Linked DNA regions of Drosophila melanogaster. The protein of the gene in region 1 interacts with the protein of each later gene in a pairwise test. Each region holds a gene or a part of one and is shown on either strand. Other genes may lie near its edges.

Evidence for each region.
Region 2: the proteins of CG13627 (region 1) and Lrpprc2 interact in a two-hybrid assay, tested with the Drosophila melanogaster proteins (one large-scale study listed by BioGRID).
Region 3: the proteins of CG13627 (region 1) and nolo interact in a two-hybrid assay, tested with the Drosophila melanogaster proteins (one large-scale study listed by BioGRID).

What each region holds. Positions count from the first base shown.
Region 1 is NT_033777.3:24,710,736-24,714,489, reverse strand, and holds the start of CG13627 (uncharacterized protein), read right to left. Parts: upstream 1,711-3,754; 5' UTR 1,584-1,710; coding exon of another isoform or gene 1,515-1,583; 5' UTR 1,399-1,514; coding exon 1,393-1,398; intron 1-1,392. Other genes in the region: CG46316 (uncharacterized protein), read right to left, coding at 1,515-1,583.
Region 2 is NC_004354.4:1,458,465-1,462,218, forward strand, and holds the start of Lrpprc2 (Leucine-rich pentatricopeptide repeat containing 2), read right to left. Parts: upstream 2,154-3,754; 5' UTR 2,095-2,153; coding exon 1-2,094. Other genes in the region: CG14787 (uncharacterized protein), read right to left, coding at 2,399-3,181; Ns3 (nucleostemin 3), read right to left, coding at 3,630-3,754.
Region 3 is NT_033779.5:21,682,037-21,685,790, forward strand, and holds the start of nolo (no long nerve cord), read left to right. Parts: upstream 1-2,069; 5' UTR 2,070-2,303; intron 2,304-2,509; 5' UTR 2,510-2,875; intron 2,876-3,754. Other genes in the region: eEF2 (eukaryotic translation elongation factor 2), read right to left, coding at 3-5.

The DNA.
Region 1 (3,754 bases):
TATACGAGTATTTTGGATTTTTCATGCATTTTATATAGGTTAAAGGGAATGGCTCTATTAGTTTAGGTATAACACAATAACGAAGAAAGAAATACATATCATGCATCTAATAAATTTATTAAGGCGTAAAATGTCAGATTTTTATAGAAACATATATAGGAACCATTAAAATGAAATGCATGTTATTCCTTGAAAAGAATGAGTATGTGCCTCTTCAGCGCGGCTGGCATGGGTCTCTTTAGTCTCGTCGATGGAAGGGGAAGTGGGTAATTTGAGGCGGCCACTGGACATTGAAATTTCACCTGGGCAGCGCACCAGCAGAGCCACTGGAGCCACCGGAGCGGCGGCAATGACAATGGCAATACGGTGTGCCGTTAGCCAGACGTCAATCAAGAGGTGAAATGCCTAGGCGAGTCCAATACGTATAGTTATTGATTACGTGCTGCGTTTGCTTAAACGGATTGCCGATTGCAACTGAAACTGACTGCAGCGGCGGTGATCGGGGTAATTGCCACAAAATTGGTGGCTTATTGTTTATGGAGTGGTTAGTTAGTAAGTTAGTTAGTTTGTCGCCATTGCAACATGCATCATAATCATATGCAAATACCAGGGGCGGCCTGCTGGTGAATGAACTGCTGCCAGGAGACGGGTGCCCGATGCCAAACACTGAAAAGTCTGGCAGGGAATGGCCCACGGCGACGGCGGATAACCCGTTCAACGAAAGTCCAAATGGAATTCGCATAATTTCGGGTTTCCTTTTGGGCTTGGCCGGCAGTGCCATTGAACCTGACAAAGGATTTTTGCCAACGGCCTAGGCGGAACTATTGATCAGCGGGCTGTCGCCACAGCGTCGACCATAAACAACGGTGTGGTTAACCCAAATTGCAACTCGAAATGCAACTTTTATTTTAGCGGCAAGCATTTTATTTTCAAGCCCGCTGCACATTGAGGCAGCCGCCTGTGCCTCACAGTTTGCAGCTTGCAACTCACAGTGTGCGATGCAATTGGTGCACGTAAAGCCATCCATTGTCTGGATCTTGGCGAAACTTGGCGCATCAAGTGCTCCCATTGCAAATGAAAGTGCTCGCTTTGCCGGCCACCTTGCAATTTGACAAATATTCCGACGACTTCAATTCAATTGAAGAAGCTACAGCTTCATTGTGCAGCGATTGCAATTTGCTGGCTTTGCTGGCGAAGGTGAAGGTGATACCAAATTTGAATGCCAATCTCAGTCTGAAGTCGTTGATCGCCGATGAGAAGAAGAAATGCCATTGAATTTGCAATAGAAATTAAAGCCAATCCATTATTGTGTTATGCTGTGCGCAGTGAGAGACTTTTTAATAACCGCTAATTGTGGCCAACAAACTCACAATACCCGCGTGAATCACTTACCCTCATCTTCTTTCGGATTTGCTAGAGATTTTCGTTGTTTTATTGTCGGGTAGCTGGCTGATGGATCTGGTAGACTGTAGAAAGCTCTGGGGCAAATGTCGAGCAACTTTTGGCTTCTTCTGCTACTCCAGCAGCAAATAGATGAAGATCAAAATGGCAATTAGGTATATAATCACGTCAATTAACTTCATGTCAACGAGCGCCGCGGCGCTTTCTTCGATCTTAAACTGCACGCACAAAAGATTTGTAAAGAGTTTCGAATATAAATTCGAGGAGCAGCGACGTCCGCACCTGTTCAAGTCGCGAAGACAACTGACTGTTAGTTGGTCGCTGGTGGCGGACAAAAACCATGTGCCCATCCGCTGGAGTTCCACTGGAATGGAGTGACGACTCGCATTGGAAGTGCGCACTGAAGAAAGTGGTCGGATTTTCTTGACTCTGGCGCCGAATGAAATACAAAAAAAAAAAAATAAAATAAATAAAAAGCCAACAAATAAAACTAGTTTGCAGTGGATAAAGCGCAGCACGCGACCAGCAGCTACATGAATTGCCAGCAAGTGGCCGATTAATCGCAACGAAAGTGTTTTCCCATTGACTGTTCTTGGCCGGCGAAAGAAAGGAGCGAAAGAGACGGCGCCAAACAAAAGACTTAAGCAGCGAACTTGTTGTCGTCGCAAGTCAGCACTCGCTCTTTACCTTAAAAAGCAATGCGGACCAGGCGCACATGATCAAGAGATGGCCCCCCAATGCCGCCGTCTGTCACCTGTTGGCCCCACTTTTTAAGTCTTTTTTTTTGCTGGGGCAGCAAACAGGAGCAGAGCCACCGATTGAAATTACGAAATGCGGCAGGCACAGTGGGGAAAATAGCAAACATTTTAAAGCGGAACCAAACAATATTTTGGGAATAATAAGATATTATTATAACATTTTCATACTTTTTAAGATGTTGCCAATATTTTTCCAATAATTTTAAACTCATATTTAACTGCATTAAATATCTGGCTAAACTCGTCGAAGACTCAAAGGAATGCGTGAAAGCTTTTTCGAATTAGTTTTTGTACGGAAGTCAGCTCAATTGGGGGCTAAGGGTTTCGTAGAAAAGCTTGAGCTGTATTTTAAGCGATATTTGATGGTAATGTAACTTAATTCAGATGTGTCCCAAAAACGAATGGATGCAATTTCCATAACCAATGGATTCCGTATGATAGGCTTCACATTTCGGATGTACATATACCAAAGGCCCTTCGATGATAATGAGACATGCTTATGAAACGCTCCCCAATAATTGGTCGCATTTTATGCAAGGCGCGACATCCAATTTCTAAACGCAATTGGTCATTGGAATTTTATAACGCCCGGCCAGCCATTTTTTGGGTCAGTATTTGGCGGCCCAAAGTTTTGGGACATAAATCAAAATTTCACTTTCATAAAGCTCTCAGTTTGGTGGTAATTTCTTTGCTATTTTTTTCCGTATTTATATTTTATTTTGAAATATTATTTTTAACAAGGTTTTTTAAACATTAACAACATAATATTATTATTATACCTTTTATTTCATACATTTATCATTTCTTTTGGTTTTTTCTTTCGGTTGCGTTTTAGACAAATGTTTAAAATATGCATTTTTAGCTCTTCAATTTGTTATTTAAAATGTTGTTTATTTTTTGTTGTTTTTGCCTTTGCAGGACCATTTTAAACTAATTTGTCATTTTATGCTTTCTGCTCTGATTTCGGTTTAGTTTACTTTAATTTCAATGTAAATTAATGAATTTTTTTTATCGCTTTTTACGTTTTATTTATGTCTACTTTTACGTTTTCCGTTGTGTAAATATACCTCATATAAATAGCGAGTAAAAACTAAAAAAATGTAACTACATTAATATGATTTGCATTGTTTTTTTTTTTTTTGGGTTTGCATTATTTATACAATTTATTTAGCACACATTGCCGGATGTGTATGTGTGCGTGTGCGGGTATCATGTGAAAGTGCTGCGAAATTATAAAAAATATTTTTTCGTTTTTCTTTTTTTGCTTGGTTTTTTAGTTGCAATTTGTTATGTTAATTATGATATCTTAATATCGTTATTCCTTAAAAAAATGAACATTTCCGCCTTAAACCTGTAAAATTATCATATTAGTTTCGGTTTTCGTTTTGGTTTTTATCTGCAAACGTTGATTCTATACAAAAAATCTAACTACAGTAAAATGCTGCATAGCTTCACATTTACGAGTATGATAATATATTTTATACGTTTTTTTTTTTTTGTTTTCATTTTTATTGACGAGTTTTCTACAAAAACCTTTGCACTTACGCTAATTTATACGGCATTGAGTAGTTGTATGCGACATTATTAATATATAT
Region 2 (3,754 bases), on another chromosome or scaffold:
CGGGTTCAGCTGCTTGGACTCCAGCTCGACTAGGTGGCACTCGAGCTCGTCTATGCTCATGTCGCGCGGGTGCTTGATGAAGCCTCCGTGGAGCGAGACCGTGTCAGCTGGCAGGGCGAGCTGTGGGTTTTTCATCTTCTGCAGCGTTTTGGCCAGATCCTGGATGAGGTCAACGTCATCAGTGGCGTGCCGGACCACGGAGAGTAGAGCTTCGGAGGCAGCGGGTGAGATTTGTAGCTCTAGGCGTCTCAGTTCGTGCAGAAAACGTCGCAACGAGGTGGCATCCTGGCGCAGACGCGTCTGAGGTCCAGTCATTTGCAGCAGCAAGGAGCCCACAAAATCTTCTCCCCGTTTGAGTGCCTTCTGCTGCAGGGCTTGGATCACTTTGGCAAATACCTCGAAACGCTTCGTGGCACGGGCATTGACCGCCAGCGAAGAAAGTGGTTGGAGCAGCGTGGCCAGGTCCAAGCGTGTCGGATACCGATCAAGCAAGTCCAGCACCTCGGACATCTGATGCTGCTGCAGCAAGTGGCTCACAACCGGGCACAGGGTCTGGGAAGGCTTGACCCCCGCCGATTCAAGTGCCTTCACGGCCTCCAAGGGCTGCACCAGGGTTTGGCGCAGGTGGGGAAACAGGTAGTGCCGCAACGTTTCCTCGTCGCACTCAACGCGCAGGCGCCGCATTTCAGAAACCAGGCGTAGCATGCCGCTTTCGCCCTCCCGCCGGTAATGGTGCAAGATCAGGGGCCAGAAGTAATGCGGACGAAGTTCCTCGCCGGCTGCAGATAGATCCTCCAGGCAGCGTAGCGCGGATGATGGCTGACGGCGAAGGGCCAACTCCGCCACCAAATGCAGGGCGCGGACGTTCTGGTTCCGCTGCACTAGTTGACCGGCGAACTGGATTGTTTGGTCCAACGGAACTTGGGCGCGGAAGAACTCCTGCAGCAGAAGTGCACCGTACTCATCCACGTTCTGATTCTGCAACTCGAACTTCGGAGCGGGCAACGCACCTACGAGCTGTATGACGACTTCGGTGCGTCCTTGGTGCACCAGCTGAATGCACAGGCTTCTGATGGCGGGCGGCAGGTCGATACCTGTTAGAAACTCGCGGGGCAGTTCCTTGACAAGCAGTTGGATTAGATCCGTGTCGACATCCTTGCTGGCGAGCAGACCCCGCAGCATCTGGAGCAGCTGAGGGGCGGTGAATCCGTGCTCCACCTGCAGCAGCTCCTTGGCCTGTGCCAACTGACCGTTTTCCAGCAGAGCCTCGAACCAAATGGCCTGAGTGCTGCTGCCTTGCTGTATTCCTGCGGCCCGCATGCTGGCTAGGACGGACTCCGCCCCGGGCAGATCACCGCTGCGGGCGTGGCCCAAAAGCAGGGCGTGAAAGTTGTGCTCCGTGAGGGCGAGGCTGCGCTCGCGCATCTCCGACAAAATCTCGGTGGCCATGCGCATGTTTCCGGCGGCGCCGGCCACGTCCAAAAGAGCGCCGTACAAGGTGGAATCGGCTGCTCCATGGTAGACGGCAATCTCCGCCAGCAACGAGCGATAGTCAGTCAGAGGCAAACGGTTCTGGCGCAGCACCTGGAGCTTCGTGTGGTAATGTGCCAGCGTGGGCTGGCCCAACTTGATCAGTTGAGCCCAGAGTCCCTTGAAGAGCTGAAGACGCTCCTGGCTGCTCTGAGCAGGAAGCAGTTCGGGCACACAGGACCCTAGAAGGAAGTGCACCTCTTCGATGCCGACTCCTAGCGGCGACGCAGACTCCTGCAGGAGCTCCAGCAGGCGCTGGCAGTGCTCAAAGTTGATCAGATCGTGCTGCCGGTAGTACGCCTCCAGCTGTGTCCACGCATCCGCCACGCTGGCTTTCGGTTTTTCAGAGGAGGAGGCGGGGCGCCGGCTTCTTCGCTCCACCGCACTGAGGACGCCACCCGTTCCCAGGGATCGCATCTGGAGCAGCGAGAACGGCACCGCTGGCGCCGCAGGCTTCGTTGCATAACGGAATGCCAGGCTGGCGGAGGAAGCGCTGCGTCCTGGCAGATGGCCCAAGCGCTGCCTGCAGAGCCACACGTTCCGCAACAGTCGTGCTCGCTGCATTTTGCCCAAGTTAATTAATCTTCCCCAAAATTACGAGATTTTACTTTCGCAGTTTTGCGGCGAGCAACAAAAAAAAAACAACACGCGCCGGCAATCAGCTGTGCCTTCCAGTCGAAAGATATCGAAAACAGTGCTGCCCATCTGTATATGCATACCCGTTTCCGTTGCAGATTTTGATTTAAAGTTTAAGTTAAGTCATGGAGCTCCAATGAAAGGAATGAAAAGAAATACCATGGGGACATGTCATTATTTTATAATCGCTATTTATTTACTTAATCGATTCAACGGATCTGGAAGCGCAACCCTACAGCGAGGATCTGGCCAAGCGGCGTCGCTGCGCAGCCAGCGGAGTGCCCTCCTCGCGCAATTCGGCCAAGAGGGAGTCCTGCCAGGGACGAAACAGGAGGCGCTTTGTCGCCAACAGGGAGGCGGAAGGCAAGCGCAAGTATTGGTCGACGCGGTGCCAAAACTCCTGCGGCTCTCGCACCACACTGGCCACAAGGCCACACTGGAGGGCAATGCTGGAGCTCGCTTGATCGCCCAGACGAAGCAGCCAGTGGACGTGTGGCACAGTCCAGCCGGGACCCACCTTGGTGCAGGGATCCAGGTGCGAGAAAGCGGGCACAAAGGCAGATAACTCCGTTGCGAAGACCAGATCGCACAGGCTGCACACGCTCAGGCCCAGACCGACGCACTGCCTCTCCACAAAAGCCACTAGGAGTTTGCGGTGCACAAGCAGCTTCTTGGCCAGCGAGCGCATCACAAAATTGGCCGCCTTCTCATGGATGTACTGCTCCTCGGCATCACCACTGCCCACAGCTTCTTCGTGGGAAGCGGTACGCCTACTCCTATTCTCCAGACCCTGTTTGAGAGCCAACGGTTCCATCTCACCGCCACATGCTGCAGAAAACTCGCCCGAGAGCACGACCACCTTAACGGCGGCGTCTGCACTCGCCAGGTCCAGGGCGCGCATCAGCTCGTAGAGGGTTCGGCGTTGCCAGCGCCGCTGGAAGCGTATGTGGAGCAGCCCAGAACGCTGTTCGACGACCAGCTCCCTGAAGTGCTTGCAGCTCTCGTTTGTGGCCATCGCTGAAGACTGCGTGATAGAGACTGTGGCCAAGTGATAGAAGACAAGAGCCGTAAGCATCTGCGCTTATCACGCGGTCAAAGTGCAGGCTTCTTTTCTCCGCGCAACTGCGCTCCTCCGCATCTCGAAATTACCTTCCATTCACGCATCTCTTAAACTCAATTGGGGGCGCCATTCCAACAACAGTTTGCTTTCATTGGTGTGTATGCTAAATATATGCTATCTTTGTGTTAATCGTTGTGTCCAGGCTGGGCCATCAGATGGCTTATCTATGTTTCTCTCAATCTGCTAGTTGCGCAATATAACTCTTTCAGTCTGAGATTGTGGGCCTTCAAACTCTCGAAGTCGGGGGGACTTTAATATATATGTATATACGTAGGTTTAATGCTTAAAATGTACAAGTGCCTCTTAGACACACCCTTCGGAATAAATAACTAATGGGCTACAATCAGTGCTCGTCCAGGTGCGAGAACTTTTTGCGCAGCTTCTCGCGCCTCTCCTTCTTCACATGACGCCAGGGCTTGGCCGCCGGATCATTGCCGGCTACTAGGGACCCGTCGTTGGCCAGGCGCA
Region 3 (3,754 bases), on another chromosome or scaffold:
ACCATTTTGGATGTATGGAGATTTTCTCGCGGACCAAAAAAACACTACGCCTTTCAACGGCGTTTCGACAGGAAAGAGCGAGGCGCTGCAGCGACCATAGAGCTGGGACAATTCTTGATATTTTCGATAGTCGGAACCAGTAGTTGATCGATAGTAGTTCACGTGACAGATTCATCAGATAGTTATTTTGCATGTTTACTTTATAGTTTTTAAACTTTTATTTTACAGAATGACGTTTTCGTAATTTTCCACGTAATTTTCCGCGTCGAAATCGTGGTTGTTTATATAGCCATAAATAAATATTGCTAAGCACTATTATTAATTTACATACATCCGCTTAAATTTCTTCTAAATTATTTTTCTTAAAAATAATCTAATCTATATATATATATTTCTTTATCGCTTAAACTATCTTATGAAAAATAAACTTTAAGTGAAAGCTAGTTATATTCTCATTTGCTCATAGATGCCGAGCCTTTAAAGTTAACGACTTATGATAGTTTCGATCAAACGGCATTTCGAAATTCTACGCACGCAGTAATATTTAAAGTATAGCAAGCGAGAACGCTATCGTCGATTTTTACGACTATTAGATACCCATTACATAGCTAATGCGATTCTCTAGGAAAATATTTAAAAATTTTGTTGGCGTTGCGGTAGGAATTAAAAAAAGGTTTGAATTGTGGGCTTGAAAACTTATTGAGGTTTGTAGGTGTAAGAGTGGGTCACGCCACGGCATATCGACAGAAATTTGGCAGACAAATAATAAAACGAAAAAAATCAAGAGATCCGAAAGTCAAATTTTCCGACAAGAAGTTTCAAAATTTGTAAAAAATGCGGTGGAAGGTCATGGCGTAAGTGTTTTTGGTATTCATTATACCCGCTACTCGTAGAGTATAAGGATATCGTTTGTTCGTTGAATGGTATGTAACAGGCAGAAGGAAGCGTTTCCAACCATATTGCTCAGGATCAATAGCCGAGTCGATCTAGCCATGTCCATGTGTCCGCCTATCCGTATGAACGTTGAGATCTCAGGAGCTATAAAAACTAGAAGGCTGAGATGCCCACTCTAACGCCCTAAAACCGCACCATTAACCATTTTTCCAAATTTGTTCATAATTTTATTAGTCTTGTAAATTTCTATCGATTTGCCAACAACAAGATAATTATTTTATAAATTATGAAATATGGCGTTCGCATTCACACTAGATAAGTAATGGGTGTTTGATACTCAGGGAACTCTACTATAGCGTTCTCTCTTCTCTCCTTTTGCTCTAGCGTCACTTGAAACTTTCGAATTAGACGGCCTCATGTCACCTCTGAGTTCAGGTTCGTATCATTGATAAAGCAGCCTTGGAAACTCTACTCTACTGTACCCTATTCTCCACTTGCGATCCCGCTTATATCAGATATTTTATTTTTTCTAAAAAACGTGGAAAACTAACCAGGAACTAGAGATATTGGTCAATTGAAAGGAGGACAACAGTTGAATATTTTCAACCCGGGGAAGACAGAACGCCTAATTGGTATATTTTGAATAAAACTTTTTAATTAAACCATAGCCAAACACCTTTCCGCCCAAAATAATGCTTTGTTTACATACACGTACCATGTTGTCTCTCTTTTGACAAACGTTTTGATATTTGTTGATTTTTGTATTCGTTTTGTAAATTTCCATAAATTTTTAAAAATTAAACCACGTACATATTTGCCCACCGGTGCCCACGCATCAAATATAGAAATGGTTCGTGAAGCTGCTTCAAACTGTAGAATAGCTCTCTTGCTGAATTTAACAGCTTTCGGGAAAGAAAAGAGCTTTTTCTTTTTCTCATTATTGTGTTCCACATTAAAAAAAAATCACTCAAACAATACCCCTCACCACCTAGAACTCACCTCACTTACCCCTCACCAACCAGAACTCACCTCACTCGAATTCAAAAACTCACTCGTTCCAATGTTGCTGCAGCATTGTTGCTCGCATTTTGAGTCAAGCTCGTTCTAATGTTTCGGCAGCATTGTTGCTGCGCGAAGACGGCCGGCAAATGAAAATGATGACGACGCGGGCGAACAGTTTTCAAGTGATTTTCCGAGCTCGCGGGCTGTGCTAACGGTAAAGGAAAATTCAGTGATTGGGGACTTTCACGTTGCACAGTTGATGTATTGCTTTGTGCGCGACGGTGTTGTTGTAGTGCGAAAGCAACAAATATTCAAAAAGATTCAGTTAAATTACGTGATTAAGTGGTCTAGGATTATCCACTTAAAACCGTTTGCAAATATTATCAGTCACCTTTTGCTCAAAAAATGTAAAGTTAAACGTTTACCGACCAATTTGAGCCGAAATATTTAAAGTATACTTTATGTTGTGTTTTCGACAAAGTGAAAAATTATAATACTAGAAATTTACAAAATATGTGAAATGATATATATGATCGAAATAATATAATTTCAATAATAAAAAATTAACTTATGCTGACAAAAATTATATGTTTTATTTCTTTTCTTTACTTAGAACATACATTTTAATTACTCAATAAAATGTAACATTTAATATGAAACCAAAAGTAATATAAACAAAGCTCTATAAAAAACGACAGGCAAACCAACTATTATATAAATCATAATTAGAAACTACAACGCAGAAAAAGGAGCAATAAGCCTAAAATACTCTTAAACCGTCAAATGCATCATTTTGGAAAAGCATGTTCCATCGTTTTTGTCGCACGAAAAGTTAAAACGATACTTATTGTCCAACGAGTGGCAATTGCGTCAATCTAAATTTTAATTTAGTTTGAGTGTGGAAGCTTCCGATAAACTTGAAAATGGATCTTGGATTTTTATTAGATGAGCGAGTCAAGCCATTTAATTTCTGATTGCCGTAAGTCTGACAACTTTACTTGTCTACATACAAAAATCCTACTAAACTTTTAATTTTTATTCAGTTTTCTTATAACTTGCATGGTTTGTGAAGCATAGGTCGGTAGACCCACTTGATTAAGCTTCTATATTGTAAAGACTTGAGTTGAGAGAAAAACTGCCGAACGAAGTGCTTTTAAAAATGCAATATTTCTTTTGGGTCCTAAAGACTAAAATTAAGAGTTATCGAAAGCAAGGATCGTTATGCTAGATTTTACATTATTATCCCAACCCCCATTAGTAATTGAACTCAATCCATGTACGAAGTCCGATAACATCCAACAAAAGTATAGGAAACTTTATATGTGTACCGTCGAAGAGTGCATATTTTAGGTTTCGGACAAAATCCCAATAAAGATTTAATAAGAATACGAAATGCCCGGTCCCAATGTATTTTTGTAAAGCACACAATGAGACACAAAAGCTTAATAGGCCCAATCCGAACTCGGCACACGGGAACCAAGCAATGTACATAAGTGTTCACATATGTCGACAGTTCCTTAATAAACGGCAAATGCATAAAAAGGTTCCGACGACTCACACAATGTCGTCGTGCTTTTTAAGTAAATTGTAAAACATCCAAGAACAATTTTTGTTGAGCGTGGGGTGCTAAAACAAGTGTGAATAAGGTAATGCGGAAAAAGTTTGCAAAAAGTCAGCGACAGTGTAAAGTGCCGAACAGACTGTCGGTTGTATGGTTCGGGTGCATAAAAAACCAAGGTATGAATGAAAATTCAGCCAATGTGGAAAACGTCTTGACCGGGGGATGTTCATATGATTCTGCCGTCAAGTCCTGCCCGTACCCGTACCCGTGTGGTCACTTCACCCAGAACTTTTTTTT